2 linked regions of the Stegostoma tigrinum genome follow. The protein of the gene in region 1 purifies or fractionates together with the protein of each later gene. This does not show direct contact. Links are inferred from orthologs where the notes say so. Each region holds a gene or a part of one and is shown on either strand. Other genes may lie near its edges. The genes, in order: wdr19 and intraflagellar transport protein 43 homolog.

What was found.
Region 2: the proteins of wdr19 (region 1) and intraflagellar transport protein 43 homolog purify together in Homo sapiens (affinity purification with mass spectrometry; 3 studies listed by BioGRID and IntAct, counting the BioPlex papers as one, with this or other methods). This does not show direct contact. The link is inferred for Stegostoma tigrinum from reciprocal best matches to the Homo sapiens genes WDR19 and IFT43.

Annotation. Positions count from the first base shown.
Region 1 is NC_081354.1:98,065,638-98,075,285, reverse strand, and holds the start of wdr19 (WD repeat-containing protein 19), read right to left. Parts: upstream 4,770-9,648; 5' UTR 4,694-4,769; coding exon 4,688-4,693; intron 1-4,687. UniProt on the Homo sapiens protein: As component of the IFT complex A (IFT-A), a complex required for retrograde ciliary transport and entry into cilia of G protein-coupled receptors (GPCRs), it is involved in cilia function and/or assembly.
Region 2 is NC_081363.1:1,957,493-1,967,121, forward strand, and holds the start of intraflagellar transport protein 43 homolog, read right to left. Parts: upstream 4,653-9,629; 5' UTR 4,617-4,652; coding exon 4,587-4,616; intron 1-4,586. UniProt on the Homo sapiens protein: As a component of IFT complex A (IFT-A), a complex required for retrograde ciliary transport and entry into cilia of G protein-coupled receptors (GPCRs), it is involved in ciliogenesis.

The sequences.
Region 1 (9,648 bases):
TCTGCCATTTAAAGGATCCTGGTTGCTCTGACATTGCTCATATTCACTTTCATGCAGTTTCCCCAAAACCTTTGATTCCTCTACTGATCAAGAGCCTGTCCATTTCACCTTTAAATTGGTGCCCCTTTATTCTGAGGCTATGCCCATCAACTGTGTATCTCAGCCATCAAGTCTCTTTGGGCCTCTGCTAATGTTTCTAGCTTTTCACAATCTCTTTCTGGGTCCAAAGTGGATTTGCTTACATTGAAATCCATTTGACAAGTCTAACTTACACACTTAGTCTATGAAAATCCTTTTGCAATTTATGCTTCCTGCCACTTTGCTTACAATGCCATCCATCTTTATATATTTTGCAAATTTAAATACGTGGCTTCTATCTCAGCATCTAAATAGCTACTGAACACTGAACAGCTGAAGCACCGACACAGATCACTGTCACCAGACACATTCTGCTAATGAGCTGACTTACCAATTAGTAAAGTTGCCATAGTCCCAGAGTACCATACAATGCTCTGTCTCTTTCCTCTCAACCAATATGCAAATGAGATCAATAATTTGCTTTTAATTCCACAAGCATCAACATTAGCTAACAATATCTTCTAGCTGTACATATAAATAATACCTATAGACATTCTCCTGACCACTAATTTAGTCTCCTACTCACTATTTTAGTCACCTCTTCAAAGAATTCAATCAAAATAGTAAGGAATGACTCTCTCTTCATGAATCCATCTGGCTCTCTTGCTATGATCAGTTGCAAATTTTTAAGGCATCAAGTCACATTATCCTCTTAAAAACTTTGCAACAACACATAACTTCTAGACCAAAAAAAAACTGTGATGCTGGAAATCAGAAAACAAAACAGAAATTGCTGGAAAATCTCAATAGGACTGGCAGCATCAGTGAAGAGAAATCAGAGATAACATTTTGGGTCTGGTGACCCTTCCTCAGAACTGATGGTAGCTAGGAAAATGTTGGTGTTTATGCAGAAGATAGGGTGGGGAGGGGGTTAGGAGTAAACAATAGGTGGAGATAGAGCCCAAAGAGAGATAAGAACAGTTGGACAGACAAAGGAGCGGATAAGGATCTGGCAAGGAAGGTGAATAGCTGTTAATGTAGACTGTTAGCGGCTAACAATGAGTTGTGTGTAATAGCAGACTGTATGATCACATGGCCTGATGTATGGGGCCGTGGCCTAGGACAGTGGAGAGTTCAAACCCTGAAGTTACTGAGCTCAATATTGAGCAGCTGCAAGGTCCCCAAGCAAAAAATGAGGTGGTGTTCTTCCAGCTTCACTGGGGAACAGCAGCAAGCCTAAGACAGGGATAGTGGCCAGGGAGCCAGGTGGTGCGTTGAAGCAGCAGGTAACTAGAAGCTCAGGGTTATTTTGGCGAGCAGAACTTAGGAGCTTTGCAAAGTGGTCACTTGGCCTACGCTTCTTTTTCCCAATGTAGAGGAAACCACATTGTGAGCAGTGAATCCAATAAACGAGATTGCATGAAGTGCAGGTAAAGTAAATAGGCAAGTATTACACCTTCGGCAATTGTAGGGGAAAGTGTCGTGGGCTGTGGTGGTATTGGGAGTGAAGGAAAAGTCGATCAGAGTGTCCCGAAGGGAATGGTCCCTGCTGAAGGCAAACAACTGAGGGGAGGAGAATGTGTCAAGTGGTGGCACTTTGCTGGAGGTGGCAGAAATGGTGGCTAATCATTTTCTTGTTATGTATGCTGGTGGGATGGTAGGTAAAAACAAGGGAATCCTATCATTGTGGGAGGGAAGAGAGAGGTTGAGAGCCAAAGTGCGGGAGCTGGGTCGAACCCAGTTGAGGGCCCTGTCGACAACAGCGCTGGGGAATCCTCGGTTGAGGAAGAAGATAGACATTTCAGAGGCTCCCTTGTCAAAGTTGGCATCATTGGCACATATGTGACGGAGAGGGAGGAACTGAGAAAACTGAGTCAGAGACAGACCAGGTGAAAGTGAGGGTGGCATGGAAGTTGGAAGCTAAATTGATAAACCTTACCAATTTCAGACGAGAAATAGAACATAACAGCACAGTACAGGCCCTTCGGCCTCGATGTTTGGAAGCTGCACTGATGATATCATCAACATATTGGAGAAAGAGTTTTGGGCATGGGCTGGAATAGGACTCAAACAAGGAATATTCCACGCACCCCACGAAGCGACAGCATAATTGGAGCCCATGCAGTACCCATGGCCACCCCTATGCCCTGAAGAAAATGACAGGAGTTAAAAAAGTTGCTTAGGGTAAGGAAAACCTCCGCCAGGCTGAGGACGGTGGTGGGGGTGGGGATGGTCAGGCATTTTTTTCCAGGAAGGAGTGGAGAGCCCTGAGACTATCCTGATGGGGAATGGAAATGTAGAGGAGTTTTATGTCCATGGTGAAGGAAGGCAGCTGGAGCCTGCAAATTGGAAATTCCAAAACTGGCATAAAGTGTCAGAGGAATTGTAGATACCATCAGCTTGGAGGTGCCGGAGGGGAGATTACCAGATAAAATGAGGACTGTAGTTGATCCAACGGCTGGATATTCCACGGTGGGGCCATGGTCCAGTGGGTGATAGGAGGAGATATGTGAGTGCTGGCATCAGCCTCTGCAACATAAATGCCAGAACTCCAGACTACAACAGCATCACGCTAATAAAGTCAAGATTGGATCTGAGCACATAGAATGCAGTCAGTTCAGGGGAAAATAGGTTGGAATGGGACAGGGGAGGAAAGAAGTTGTTGCCCGCCACATCTACACATCATCCTGTACCCTGGCCAATATCTCTGTCTTAGGCTTGCTGCAGTGCTCCAGCAACGCTCAGCATAAGCTGGATGAACAACAATTCATTTTCTGCTTGGGGTCCCTGCCCTACTCAATATCGAGTTTAATAACTGTAGGTCTTGAACACTCCTATGTCCTAGTCCCCACACCAAAGCACCAGGCCTTGTGACTGCATAGTCTGCTATTACACACAACCCATTGTTAGCCACCAACAGTCTCCATTAACAGCTATTCACTCTCCTAGCCAAATCCTTATCTACTCTTTTGTCTGTCCAACTGTCTTCTCTCTCTTTGGGCTCTATCCTCACCTATCATTTACTCCTTACTCCCTTCCCCCCATCCCATCTTCTGCATTAATACCAACATTTTCTGAGCTACCATCAGTTCTGAGGAAGGGTGACCGGACCCAAAATGTTATCTCTGCTTTCTCTAGACGCTGCTAGATTAAAGTGGCCATGGAAGGTGTGATCTTAGGATGTTTAGCAAAACATGCTCTATGGCTGCTCCGGAGCTTTGGTGGTGGATCGAGCAGGTGTTTCTGGACTTAGTGCCAATCATTCAGGCTGTTTTATCATGGATAGTGTCAACCTTTTGCGTTGTTTGATTTACACTAATTCAGGCAAGTGGGAAGTATTGTCACATTCCTGACTTGTGCCTTGTAGATGGCGGAAAGATTTTTGAGAAGTCAGTTGGTGAGTAACTTAGTGCAGTATTCCAAGACTCCAGCCTGCTCTTGTAGCCACTGTAATTATAATGGTATGCCCAGTTGAGTTTCTGGTCAACAGTAACTGCTAGGATGAGGGAATCAGTGATGGCGACTCCATTGAATGTCAAGTGATGGCATGAATGTTACTTGCCACTTTTTCTGCCCAAACCTGAATGCTGTCTAGGTCTTGATGCATTTGGACAGGGACTGTTTCAGTATCCGAGGAGTCATGATGGTGCTGGCCACTGTGCAAGTACTGGTGAACATCCCCACATCTGACCTGATGGAGGAGGGAAGGTTTTCGATGAAGCAGCTAAAGATTGTTGGGCCTAGGAACCACTGAGGAACTCCAGCAGAGATTTCCAGGAGCGGAGATGACTGATCTCTGACAATCACGACCATCTTCCTATGTTCAAGGAATGCATCAAATTAACAGAGAGTTTTCTCCTAATTCCCAGTGATTTGAATTTTAGTAGGGCTTCCTGATACCACACTCTATCAAACATGGCCTCGATTTCATGGGCTGTCACTTTCACTCCTGAAATTCAGTTGTTTTGTCCATGTTTGAAGTCAAATTGGACATCACTGAGCAAATGGTCGACAAGTAAGTGCTGGTTGATTACATTGTTAATGTTACCTTCCGTCACTTACCACATGATCAAGAGTAGACTAATGGGGAGGCAATTAGCCCGGTTGGATTTATCCTGCTTTTGGTGTACAAGACATACTTGGGCAATTTTTCACATTGACAGGCAAGTGCCAGCATTGTAACTTAACTGAACCTGCTTGGCTACGCAAACAGCAAGTTCTGGAGCACAAGTACTATTGTCAGAATGTTCTCAGGGCCCACAGCCTTTGCAGTATCCAGCGGAAGCTGGTATTAATGGATCTGTGGTGAACACAGTGAGAGTACAATTACAATACTTTCTAGGAGACAGAATATCCCCACGTCTCGGGGGAATATTTTCTGGGTCATGAGGGTTCAGGGACTACAATCCATTGTACCACCAACTCCGTTTCCATAGTAACCGTCAAAGTAGAGCTGAGGCCTTTGCAAATTGCGGTGTTATCACAAGCCATCGACAACAGCGGCGCTAAGTAACAAAACCGAAAATTGTTAACGCGAATACATCTCTCTCTCCTCAACCCGAAGACTTGATGATACCGGAGCAGCCTCCACCTGCACTTCCTCTCTCACCTTCATCTTTCTCTTTATTTCCTTCAGCCTCTAGCTTCCCCAAGTGTGGCCGCGCTGACCAAATGCGCACGCGCAGCAATGCGTCCTCTTCCCGTAGTGCAACGCGGTAGGGCGTCTGGTAGCCATGGTAACCGTCGGCATGCGCCATCACCGTGTTTCTTTGCAGGCTCAGTCCCAGTGAGAAAGCCTGGAGGACCATGAATTTACTGTCAACCTGGGGCTGCTTGTTTAAAAGAAATCTCCATGACTACTAATCTAAATCAAAACAAAAAGCCGAAAGGTATCAACAGGTCACAGTCCGTGGAGATAAAGGCCACAGAACACCGCACTGCCCGTTTCTATCTCCTTCCCAAAATCCACAAACCTGCCTGCCCTGGTCGACCCATCGTCTCAGCCTGCTCCTGCCCCACCGAACTCATCTCCACCTATCTGGACTCCATTTTCTCCCCTTTGGTCCAGGAACTCCCCACCTACATCCATGACACCACCCATGCCCTCCACCTCCTCCAGGACTTCCAATTCCCTGGCCCCCAACACCTCATCTTCACCATGGACGTCCAGTCCCTATACACCTGTATTCCGCATGGAGATGGCCTCAAGGCCCTCCGCTTCTTCCTGTCCCGCAGGCCCGACCAGTCCCCCTCCACCGACACCCTCATCCGTCTAGCCGAACTCGTCCTCACACTCAACAACTTCTCTTTTGACTCCTCCCACTTCCTACAGACTAAGGGGGTGGCCATGGGCACCCGCATGGGCCCCAGCTATGCCTGCCTCTTTGTAGGTTACGTGGAACGGTCCCTCTTCTGCACCTACACAGGCCCCAAACCCCACCTCTTCCTCCGGTACATTGATGACTGTATCGGCGCCGCCTCTTGCTCCCCAGAGGAGCTCGAACAGTTCATCCACTTCACCAACACCTTCCACCCCAACCTTCAGTTCACCTGGGCCATCTCCAGCACATCCCTCACCTTCCTGGACCTCTCAGTCTCCATCTCAGGCAACCAGCTTGTAACTGATGTCCATTTCAAGCCCACCGACTCCCACAGCTACCTAGAATACACCTTCTCCCACCCACTCTCCTGCAAAAATTCCATCCCCTATTCCCAATTCCTCCGCCTCCGCCGCATCAGCTCCCACGATGAGGCATTCCACTCCCACACATCCCAGATGTCCAAGTTCTTCAAGGACCGCAACTTTCCCCCCACAGTGGTCGAGAACGCCCTTGACCGCGTCTCCCGCATTTCCCGCAACACATCCCTCACACCCCGCCCCTGCCACAACTGCCCAAAGAGGATCCCCCTCATTCTTACACACCACCCCACCAACCTCCGGATACAACGCATCATCCTCCGACACTTCTGCCATCTACAATCCGACCCCACCACCCAAGACATTTTTCCATCCCCACCCCTGTCTGCTTTCCGGAGAGACCACTCTCTCCGTGACTCCCTTGTTCGCTCCACACTGCCCTCCAACTCCACCACACCCGGCACCTTCCCCTGCAACCGCAGGAAATGCTACACTTGCCCCCACACCTCGTCCCTCACCCCCATCCCAGGCCCCAAGATGACATTCCACATTAAGCAGAGGTTCACCTGCACATCTGCCAATGTGGTATACTGCATCCATTGTACCCGGTGCGGCTTCCTCTACATTGGGGAAACCAAGCGGAGGCTTGGGGGGACCGCTTTGCAGAACACCTCCACTCGGTTCGCAACAAACAACTGCACCTCCCAGTCGCAAACCATTTCCACTCCCCCTCCCATTCTTTAGATGACATGTCCATCATGGGCCTCCTGCACTGCCACAATGATGCCACCCGAAGGTTGCAGGAACAGCAACTCATATTCCGTTTGGGAACCCTGCAGCCCAATGGTATCAATGTGGACTTCACCAGCTTCAAAATCTCCCCTTCCCCCACCACATCCCAAAACCAGCCCAGTTCGTCCCCTCCCCCCACTGCACCACACAACCAGCCCAGCTCTTCCCCTCCACCCACTGCATCCCAAAACCAGTCCAACCTGTCTCTGCCTTCCTAACCTGTTCTTCCTCTCACCCATCCCTTCCTCCCACCCCAAGCCGCACCTCCATCTCCTACCTACTAACCTCATCCCACCTCCTTGACCTGTCCGTCTTCCCTGGACTGACCTGTCCCCTCCCTACCTCCTCACCTATACTCTCCTCTCCAGCTATCTTCTTTTCTCTCCATTTTCGGTCCGCCTCCCCCTCTCTCCCTATTTATTCCAGAACCCTCACCCCATCCCCCTCTCTGATGAAGGGCCTAGGCCCGAAACGTCAGCTTTTGTGCTCCTGAGATGCTGCTGGGCCTGCTGTGTTCATCCAGCCTCACATTTTATTATCTTGGATTCTCCAGCATCTGCAGTTCCCATTATCACAGAATCCAGCTCTGTTCTGTTTGTAGGTTGGTGCTATTTAGGCTCCAAATTGGAGATATGTGTTTTATGTGAGCCACGCTAGACAACATCGGAGTGGGAGATGAGAAGGGAACATTCAGTAAGAAATGATTCTTCAACTATTAATGTTCATGACTGCCTTAAGTCGTACCTAATTCAATGATGTTCATACAGTCTTAACAGGGAAGGGTTGTCTAGCTCCAGATCCAATATAGACAGGTGTATCATCGGTGTCCAAATAGTTTTTAAGATCAACTTGCTCAGACACGTTGCACGCATCCAGAAGGGTGGACTTGAACCCAGCCCTCCTGGCAGAGAGTGAGGGGCATTGCCAGTGTCACAAGAGACCCCTACCGTAATAATCTTAGTTATTATGTCTGACCAACCAACGTAATTGTTCCTGTTTCTACCATGCAATAAACTAAAGCTTGTTAAAACCAGCACTTCTTTGCATTAAGACTCACTGGTGGTTCACGCTCCACCATTGTTAACTAAAGCAAGAGAGAGGTGATGGCTGAGTGGTAATGTCACTGGACTAGTATCCAGAACCCTTAGCTGATGTCATTTATGCAGTCAGAGTTTTAACAGCATGGAAGGAGGCTTTTAAGCTTGCGTTCACACCAGTCTTCAAACTTCCATCTATTCTAATCTCATTTTCCAGCTGCTGGCTCATAGCCTTGTACACTATGGTGTTTCAAGCATTCATCTAAATAATTTTTAAATGTTTTGAAATTTCCTGTCTGTACCACCCTCTTAGACAGTGAGTTCTAAGTACTCATAACCCTCTGGGTGAAAAAAATCCCTCAAATCCAGTCTGAACTGCCCACCTTTCTCTCCTGTCTCCTCAGACTTCTCTGTTCTAAGGAAAATAGCTTCAGAATTGAATCGCTCCAGCCTAAGCAACACTGTGCTGAATCTCTCGCACCCTCTCTAGTAAAATCACATTTTTTTTTGCTCAGTATTTAAGGTAAGTGAGGGACAGGAGTTTGGACGACAAAATGGGTACCTGATGGATAAAGTAAGTAAATGTCTGCTTAAAATATGTTAGAGGATCCAATCTGGCAGGGTGGGGCTGGGTGTAGGTTGGTTTGGGACCAACCAGGGTTGGGTGGATCAGGTCAAGAAGATCATGTCAGGTCAGAGGATTGTCAGTTTCAGCAAGAGTTGGTCAGGGGGAGCAGAGTTTTAGGTGTTGGGTCACAGGAAGGGGATGTTGTGTCTAGGGATAGGTGTGTTGGGTCTGGATGTTAAGGTTCTGGGATGTAGTTGGGTTGAGGTAGGATCAGTGGTGAGTTGGAAGTTAGTTTAATAGTTGTCAAATAGTCCTCTGACCTTTACTCGGTAATGATGAAACTTAAGTGAGACCAAACTTTATCAAGGTCTGACTTTAAGCATCTTTTTTAGGAGGGTTCCAGAAGCAGGGGAATTGTCCAGTGATAATTTCAAGTTCTGGGACAATTCCAATGCATCAGAGATTCCACGTGGTCTTGAGCCACAATTCTGGTGTTCTCTGTCCATTAACTGAAAGCTGATGCTACATAAATTTATTAAGATCCTTTGAGGATGTAACAAAATTAATAAATGAGGTATATCCAGTGATAATCATTCTGCTGGCCTGCTACCTGGCTGTAACTTCACTCTTCCCTGTCATTTCATCTTATTTAGCTTCTTCCTCTCTTGCATGTATCTGTCTGCCTGTCTTCAGCTTTGTGTTCTTCACTATTGGTACTGCTCTGCTACCATCATTTCTTGTTCCCATATCTCTTTGCTGCTTTGCATTCCAGTTTATGGGAACACATTGACGTGAATAATATTCACAGACTAAGCCACTGGTTTTACTGACATCTTGACAGACCACAGTACCAACACTATCAACCATCCAGCTGCCTAACCATCTGGAACATAAAGTGATACTTCAGCGTTATGATAAAAATAAATTAAAACAGGAAAACTGCAGAGAGTGTGATATCAATAAAGTGCATTTCAAGTAATGACATTATGGTGCCTGATTATTCTCAATGCAGCACTTCCAAAAACAAACATAATGCAGATCATAATGTGTCAGAATTAATAGAGAAAATTACAGAATTTCTGTTTTTATGATACCTTGAAACGATCATAAAAATTATGAAGTGTGGAGGTGACATTCAATTTAGACTTGCTGTCATGCAGTTGTCAGGGAATTGGGGCGCTGAGGCACAGATAGGCTGTGATCTAATTCAATGTTATCTGATATGTTAACCATGAACATTAAGCATCACTATTGGGAAATTGATCTCAATACTTGTACTCATTATATAAGTGTACATTTACTAATAAAATAGTAAGATGTGAAGCAGATTCTCAAACTTATTTTATGAAAATGCATGCTTTATTTGTAGAAATGATGACATAGTGGTAATGCCACTAGACAAAGAATCCAGTACCCCTGGCTCATGTCCTGGGAACAACGGTTCACATTCTGCCATATTAGCTCATGAGATTTGGATTTTTAAAAAAAATCTGGAGTTAATCTTTTGATTGTCATAAAAAGCTATTTGGTTCACT
Region 2 (9,629 bases), on another chromosome or scaffold:
TCACTGTCTTTCCCATTCTCTCTGTCACATTCTCTCTCTGTTAGATTCTCTCCCATTCCCAGGCACATTCTCTCACTCTTTATTACATTCTCTCCCTCTGCCAAGTTCTCTCTCTATCAGAATCTCTCTCTCCATGACTACTGCATTCCCTCTCTCCATCACTACTCAATTCCCTCTCTCCATCACTATTATATTTCTCTATCACTCTAGCACACACACTCACTCCTCTTTCTATCACACGCCCTCTCTCTCTCTATCACACACTCTTTCTCTCCCGTCTCCCTATCACACTTTCTCTACCTCGCGCTCTCTATTACACACTCTCTCTCACACATTCTCTCCCTCCCTCTATCACAGTCTTTCTCTCTCCCTCCCGCCATCTCAATCTCAGTCTCTCTCTCCCTCCCTCCATCACACTCTCTCCTTCCCTCTATCACATTGTCGATGTCATTCCCTTTATCAGACTCTCTCCCTCCCTCCCTCTATCACACTCTCACATTCCCTCCCTCCATCACACTGTCTCTCTCTCCCTCCATCACACTCTGACTTTCCCTCTCTCCATCACTCTCTCCCACGCTCCATCACGCTCTGTCTCTCCCTCCCTCTATCACACTCTCTCATTTCCTTCCTCTATCACTCTCTCTCTTACTCTCCCTCTATCACACTCTGTCCATCCATCCATCACACACACTCTCTCCATCACACTCTGTCTCCCTCCCCTGTCACACTCTCTCTCCCTACCTCTATCACTCTCTCTCACTCTCCCTCTCTCCCTCCATCACACTCTCTCTTACTCTCCCTCTATCACACTCTCTCCCTCACTCTATCACACACACTCTCTCTTCCTCCATCACACTCCCTCCATCACACTCCCTCTCTCTCCATCACACTCCCTCTATCACCCTCTCTCTCTCTCCCTCCCACTACCACATTCTGTCTCTTACTCTCCCTCTATCACAATCTCTCACTCTCTCCATCACACATACACTCACTCTCCCACACTCTCTTCCTCCCTCCTTCTATCACACGCACTCTCCCTTCCCCTCCATCACACTCTCTCTCTTCCTCCATCACACTCTCTCTTACTCCCTCTATCACACTCTCTCTGTATCTCCCTCTATCAGACTCTCTCTATCTCTTCCTCCATCACATTCTCTCTTTCACTCCCTCCATCACACTCTCTCTCACTCACTCCATCACACTCTCTTTCCCTCCATCACCCTCTCTCTCTCCCTTCCTCTATCTCAATCACCCTCTCTCTGTCCCTCCCTCTACCTCTATCACACTCTCTCCCCCTCTATCACACTCTCTCCCTCCCTCCATCATACACTCTCACACTCCCTCTATCACACTCTCTCTCTCTCTCTTTCTTCCTCCATCACACTCTCTCACTCCCTCTATCACATTGTCTTTCCCTCCATCACCCTCTCTCTCCGTCCCTCTACCTCAATCATCCTCTCTCTGTCCCTCCCTCTACCTCTATTACACACTCTCTCTCTCTCTCCCTCCCTCTATCACTCTCTCTCCCTCCCTCCCTTCATCACACGCTCTGTCTCTCTCCCCCGCTCCTTCTATCACACACTCTCTCTCCCCCTCCATCACACACTCTCTCCCTCCGTCTATCACATCCTCTTTCTCCCTCCCTCTATCACACTCTCACAGTCTCACCCTCTATTGGACTCTCTTCCTCCTTCAATCACACTCTCTACCTCCCCCCATCACACTCTGTCTCTCCTTCCCTCTATAACACTCTCTCCCTCCCTCTATCACACTCTGTCTCTCAGAACAAAGAACAAAGAAACCTACAGCACAGGAACAAGCCCTTCGGCCCTCCAAGCTTGCGCCGATTGAGATCCTCTGTCTAATCTGTCATCTATTCATCTATTTTCTAACAATCTGTGTCCATTTGCTCCCTGCCCATCCATGTACCTGTCCAGATACAGCTTAAAAGACGCTAACGTGTCTGTGTCTACCACGTCCACTGGCAACGGCTCTACCTCTTCCTCCATCATACTCTCTCTCTCACTCCCTCTATCACATGCTGTATCTCCCTCTATCAGACTCACACATAGAGTTCCAGGCACCCACCACCCTCTGCGTAAAGAACTTTCCACACATATCTCCCCTAAACTTTCCTCCTCTCACTTTGAACTCATGACCCCGAGTAATTGAGTCCCCCATTCTGGGGAAACTTACTGTCCCTTTATCATACTCTCTCCCTCCCTCTATCACACTCTCTCTCTTACTCTCCCGCGATCACACTCTCTCTCTCGCACTGACACACTCTCTCTCTCTCTCCCTCTGTCACACTCTCTCTCCCTCTGTCACACACTCTCTCTCCCTCTGTCACACACTCTCTCTCTCCCTCTGTCACACACTCTCTCTCTCCCTCTGTCACACTCTCGCTCTCTTACTCTGTCACACTCTCTCTATCTTACTCTGTCACACTCTCTCTCTCTTACTCTGTCACTCTCTATCTCTCCATCTGTCACTCCCTCTCTCTCCCTCTGTCACACTCTCTCTCTCCCTGTCACACTCTCTCTCTCCCTGTCACACTCTATCTCTCACTCTGTCACACACTCTCTCTCTCCCTCTGTCACACACTCTCTCTCTCCCTCTGTCACACACTCTCTCTCTCCCTCTGTCACACTCTCTATCTCTCCCTCTGTCACACTCTCTCTCTCCCTCTGTCACACTCTCTCTCTCTCTCCCTGTCACACACTCTCTCTCTCTCCCTCTGTCACACACTCTCTCTCTCTCTCTCCCTCTGTCACACTCTCTCTCTCTTACTCTGTCACTCTCTCTCTCTCTCTTACTCTGTCACTCTCTATCTCTCCCACTGTCACACACTCTCTCTCTGCCCCTCTGTCACACACTCTCTCTCTCCCTCTGTCACACACTCTCTCTCCCTCTGTCACACTCTCTATCTGTCCCACTGTCACACACTCTCTCTCTCCCACTGTCACACACACTATCTCTCCCTCTGTCACACACTCTCTCTCTCTCCTCTGTCACACTCTCTCTCTCTTACTCTGTCACCCTCTATCTCTCCCACTGTCACACACTCTCTCTCTCTCTCCCTCTGTCACACTCTCTCTCTCTTACTCTGTCACTCTCTATCTCTCCCACTGTCACACACTCTCTATCTCTCCCTCTGTCACACACTCTCTCTCTCCCTCTGTCACACACTCTCTCTCTCCCTCTGTCACACACTCTCTCTCTTACTCTGTCACTCTCTATCTCTCCCACTGTCACACACACTCTTTCTCTCCCTCTGTCACACACTCTCTCTCTCCCTCTGTCACACACTCTCTCTCTCCCTCTGTCACACTCTCTCTCTCTTACTCTGTCACTCTCTATCTCTCCCACTGTCACACTCTCTCTCTCTCCCTCTGTCACACTCTCTCTCTCTTACTCTGTCACTCTCTATCTCTCCCACTGTCACACACTCTCTCTCTCCCCCTCTGTCACACACTCTCTCTCTCCCTCTGTCACACACTCTCTCTCCCTCTGTCACACTCTCTATCTGTCCCACTGTCACACACTCTCTCTCTCCCTCTGTCTCACACACTCTCTATCTCTCCCTCTGTCACACACTCTCTCTCTCTCCCTCTGTCACACACTCTCTCTCTCCCTCTGTCACACACTCTCTCTCTCCCTCTGTCACACTCTCTCTCTCTTACTCTGTCACTCTCTATCTCTCCCACTCTGTCACTCTCTATCTCTCCCACTGTCACACTCTCTCTCTCTCCCACTGTCACACACACTCTCTCTCTCCCTCTGTCTCACACACTCTCTATCTCTCCCACTGTTACACACTCTCTCTCTCTCCCTCTGTCACACAATCTCTCTCTCTCCCTCTGTCACACAATCTCTCTCCCTCTGTCACACTCTCTCTCCCACTGTCACACACTCTCTCTCTCCCCCTCTGTCACACACTCTCTATCTCTCCCACTGTCACACACTCTCTCTCTCCCTCTGAAACACACTCTCTCTCTCCCTCTGTCACACTCTCTCTCTCTTACTCTGTCACTCTCTATCTCTCCCACTGTCACACTCTCTCTCTCTCTCCCTCTGTCACACTCTCTCTCTCTTACTCTGTCACTCTCTATCTCTCCCACTGTTACACACTCTCTCTCTCCCCCTCTGTCACACACTCTCTCTCTCTCCCTCTGTCACACACTCTCTCTCCCACTGTCACACACTCTCTCTCTCTCCCTCTGTCACACTCTCTATCTCTCCCACTGTCACACACTCTCTCTCTCCCTCTGTCTCACACTCTCTCTCTCTCCCTCTGTCACACTCTCTCTCTCTTACTCTGTCACACACTCTCTCTCCCTCTGTCACACACTCTCTCTCTCTCCCTCTGTCTCACACTCTCTCTCTCTCCCTCTGTCTCACACACTCTCTCTTACTCTCCCAGATTCTCTCCCTCCCTCCCTCTGTCACTCTCTCTCTCTCTGCGTCTCTCTCTATCACCACACACTCTCTCTCTCTCTCTCTCTCGCACTGTCACAGTCTCTCTCTCCCACCTGGAACACATAGACACTCCCTCCCCCTCCCTCTATCACACTCTATCCTATTACCCGCTGAGGTTCCTCCAGAACATCCTCCATTGCCAGGCCAAGCGCCAATGCGCATGCGCGACGGTCTCCCCGACAACGGAGAGAGAGACTGGGATAGAAAGAGAGAGAGAGACTGGGATAGAGAGAGAGAGTGAAACTGGGATAGTGAGAGAGAGAGACTGGGATAGAGAGAGAGAGAGAGACTGGGATAGAGAGAGAGAGACTGGGATAGAGAGAGAGAGAGAGACTGGGATAGAGAGAGAGAGAGAGACTGGGATAGAGAGAGAGAGAGACTTGGATAGTGAGAGAGATAGAGACTGGGATAGAGAGAGAGAGAGACTGGGATAGAGATAGAGAGAGACTGGGATAGAGAGAGAGATAGAAACTGGGATAGAGAGAAAGAGCGACATAGATAGAGAGAGACAGAGACTGGGATAGAGAGAGAGAGATACTGGGATAGACAGAGAGAGAGACTGGGATAGAGAGAGAGAGAGAGACTGGGATAGTGAGAGAGAGAGAGTGGGAAAAAGAGAGAGAGAGAGACTGGGATAGAGAGACGGAGAGAGACTGGGATAGAGAGATAGAGAGAGACTTGGATAGTGAGAGAGATAGAGACTGGGATAGAGAGAGAGAGAGACTGGGATAGAGAGAGAGAGACTGGGATAGAGAGAGACTGGGATAGAGATAGAGAGAGAGAGACTGGGATAGAGAGAAAGAGAGATAAAGAGACTGGGATAGAGAGAGTGAGACTGGGATAGATAGAGAGAGAGACTGAGAGAGAGAGGGACTGGGATAGAGAGAGAGAGAGGAATAGTGCCAGATGACTGGAGGATAGCAAATGTGGTTCCCCTGTTGAAGATGGGAGTAGAGACAACCCTGGTAATTATAGACCAGTGAGCCTTACCTCAGTTGTTGGTAAAGTGTTGGAAAAGGTTATAAGGGATAGGATTTATAATCATCTAGAAAAGAATAAATTGATCAGGGATAGTCAGCATGGTTTTGTGAAGGGAAGGTCGTGCCTCACAAACCTTATTGAGTTCTTTGAGAAGGTGACCAAACAGGTAGATGAGAGTAAACCGGTTGATGTGGTGTATATGGATTTCAGCAAGGCGTTCGATAAGGTTACCCACAATAGGCTATTGTACAAAATGCAGAGGAATGGAATTGTGGGAGATATAGCAGTTTGGATCGGAAATTGGCTTGCTGAAAGAAGACAGAGGGTGGTAGTTGATGGGAAATGTTCATCCTGGAGACCAGTTACTAGTGGTGTACCGCAAGGGTCGGTGTTGGGTCCACTGCTGTTTGTCATTTTTATAAATGACCTGGATGAGGGTGTAGAAGGATGGGTTAGTAAATTTGCAGACGACACTAAGGTCGGTGGAGTTGTGGATAGTGACGAAGGATGCTGTAGGTTGCAGAGAGACATAGATAAGCTGCAGAGCTGGGCTGAGAGGTGGCAAATGGAGTTTATTGCAGACAAGTGTGAGGTGATGCACTTTGGTAGGAGTAACCAGAAGGCAAAGTACTGGGCTAATGGTAAGATTCTTAGCAGTGTAGATGAGCAGAGAGATCTCGGTGTCCATGTACACAGATCCTTGAAAGTTACCACCCAGGTTGACAGGGCTGTTAAGAAGGCATACAGTGTTTTAGCTTTTATTAATAGAGGGATCGAGTTGCGGAACCAAGAGGTTATGGTGAAGCTGTACAAGACTCTGGTGTGGCCGCACATGGAGTATTGTGTACAGTTCTGGTCACCGCATTATAAGAAGGATGTGGAAGCTTTGGAAAGGATGCAGAGGAGATTATTTAGGATGTTGCCTGGTATGGAGGGAAGGCCTTACGAGGAAAGGTTGAGGGACTTGAGGCTGTTTTCATTAGAGAGAAGAAGGTTGAGAGGTGACTTAATTGAAACATATAAAATAATCAGAGGGTTAAATAGGGTGGATAGGGAGAGCCTTTTTCCTCGGATGGTGACGGCAAGCACGAGGGGGCATAGCTTTAAATTGAGGGGTGGAAGATATAGGTCAGATGTCAGAGGTAGTTTCTTTACTCAGAGAGTAGTAAGGGCATGGAACGCTTTGCCTGGAATGGTAGTTGATTCGCCAACTTTAGGTCCATTTAAGTCGTCATTGGACAAGCATATGGACGTACTTGGAATAGTGTAGGTTAGATGGGCTTGAGATTGGTATGACAGGTTGGCACAACGTCGAGGGCCGAAGGGCCTGTACTGTGCTGTAATGTTCTATGTTCTATGAGACTGGGATAGAGAGAGAGAGAGAGACTGGGATAGAGAGAGAGAGAGACTGGGATAGAGAAAGAGTGTGACTGGGACAGAGAGAGAGAGCGTGACTTGGATAGAGAGAGAGACTGGGATAGAGAGAGAGAGACTGGGATAGTGAGAGAGAGAGACTGGGATAGAGAGAGAGAGTGACTGGGATAGAGAGAGAGAAAGAGAGGCTGGGATAGTGAGAGAGAGAGACTGAGATAGAGAGAGAGAGTGACTGGGATAGAGAGAGAGAAAGAGAGGCTGGGATAGAAAGAGAGAGCGAAACTGGGATAGAGAGAGAGACACTGGGATAGAGAGAGAGAGAGCGACTGGGATAGAGAGAGTGAGAGAGACTGGGATAGAGAGAGAGAGACTGGGATAGAGAGAGAGAGAGAAAGAGAGACTGGGATAGAGGGAGACTGGGATAGAGAGAGAGAGAGCGACTGGGATAGAGAGAGAGAGAGCGACTGGGATAGAGTGAGAGAGAGCGACTGGGATAGAGAGAGAGACTGGGATAGAGAGAGAGAGAGACTGGGATAGAGAGAGAGAGAGACTGGGATAGAGAGAGAGAGAGCGACTGGGATAGAGTGAGAGAGAGCGACTGGGATAGAGAGAGAGAGAGAGAGACTGGGATAGAGAGAGAGAGAGACTGGGATAGCGAGAGCAAGAGCAGAACTGGAATATAGAGTGACCCTAGATTGTTTGTTTCAGCCACTCCCTGACATTCGCTCTCTGTATGTCGCGGTGGGATGCAGTTATCTCAGTTTAATAATAATCGTGTTATCATTTTTAAGCAAACCGGTGACGGAGATCTTGTTAGATCTCAGCTGAAGTATTGTGTCCAGTTGTAGGTACCACATTGTAGGGAAGATGTGAATATATTACAGACAGTACTGAAATTATTAGTATGAATGATGCCAGGAATGAAAATTTCAGTGATGAGGATAGACTGAAGAAGCGGTGAGCTTGTGGTGCCACGGTAGCACGTCTGGCTCCAAATCAGAAGGTTGGGTGTTCAAATCATGGCGGGCTCACTGATGTTTGGTGGTAATGTATTGCTACTTATTTAGAGGGCACCACGGTGGCTCAGTGGTTAGCACTGCAGCCTCACAGCACCAGGGACCCAGGTTCAATTCCAGCCTCAGGCGACTGTCTATGTGGAGTTTGCACATTCTCCCCATGTCTGCATGGGTTTTCTCCGGGTGCTCCGGTTTCCTCCCACAGTCCAAAGATGTGCAGGCTAGGTGGGTTGGCCATGATAAATAGCTAATAGTGTTCAGGGAGGTATAGATTAGGTGGGCTAAGGGGGGATGGGTCTGGGTGGGATGCTCCGTGAATTGGTGTGGATTTGTTGGGCCGAAGAGCCTGTTACCACACTGTCGGGATTCTATAATAAATAAGTTGGGACTATTCCCTATTGAGAGGAGAAGCCTAAGAGAAGATTTGATTGAGGTATTCAAGATCGTGAGCAGGGCCTGGTCAAGGTAGATAGGGAGAAGCCTTTCCCATTCTTAAGGGGCTTTCTCAAGATGGCAGCCAGTGACAAGTGGTGGTCCGCAAGGGTCAGTACTGGGGCCACAACCTTTCACTTTATACAATTTCCTTTGATGATCATGGGATGTGGGCATCACTGGCCAGGCAGCATTCATTGCCCATCCCTAGTTGCCCAGAGGGCAGTTAGGAGTCAACCACATCGCTGTGGGTCTGGAGTCACATGGAGGCCAGACCAGGTAAGGATGGCAGTTTCATTCCCTAAAGGTCATTAGTGAACCAGATGGGTTTTTTCGATTATCAACATCGTATTCATGGTCATCATTAGATTCTCAATTCCAGATATTTATTGAATTCAAATTCCACCATCTGCCCTGGCAGGATTTGAATCCAGATCCCCAGAACATTATCTGAGTCTCTGGATTAACAGTCCAGCGGTTATACCACGAGACAAGTACCTCCCATAATCGAGATGAAGGAACTGAGGGTATTCTGGTTAAGTTTGCAGATGATACAAAGTTAGGCGGAGGGACAGGTAGTATTGAGGAGATGGGGAGGCTTCAGAAGGATTTCGACATGTCAGGAGAGCGAGTAAAGAAGTGGCAGATGGAGTACAACGTGGGAAAGCGTGAGGTCATACACTTTCGTAAGAATAATAAAAGCATGGGCTGTTTTCTAAATGGGGAGGAAATGCAGAAAGAGACTTGGGAGTTCTAGTCCAGGATTCTCTCAAGGTAAACTTGCAGGGTGAGTCAGCAGTCAGGAAGGCAAATGCAATGTTAGCATTTATTTTGAGAGGTGTTGAATATAAAAGCAGGGATGTACTACTGAGGCTCTATAAGGCTCTGGTCAGGCCACATTTGGAGTATTGTGTGCAGTTTTGGGACCCATATCTCAGGAAGGATGTACTGGCCCTGGAGCAGGTTCAGAGGAGGTTCACGAAAATGGTCCTGGGAATGGAGAGCTTAACATATGGGGAATATTTGAGGACTCTGGGACTATACTCATTGGAGTTTAGACGGATGAGGCGGGTACTATTGAAATTTACAGACTATGAATGGCCTGGACAGAGCGGATGTTGGGAAGATGCTTCCATTGGTAGGAGAGACTAGGACCCGGGGGCACAGCCTTAGAGTAAAGGTAAGACCTTTTAGGACGGAGATAAGGAGAAACGTCTTCAGCCAGAGAGTGGTGAATCTATGGAATTCACTGCCACAGAAGGCTGTGGAGGCCGGGTCATTGAGTACATTTAAGACAGAGATAGATAGGTTCTTGATTATTAAGGGTTATGGGGAGAAAGTGGGAGA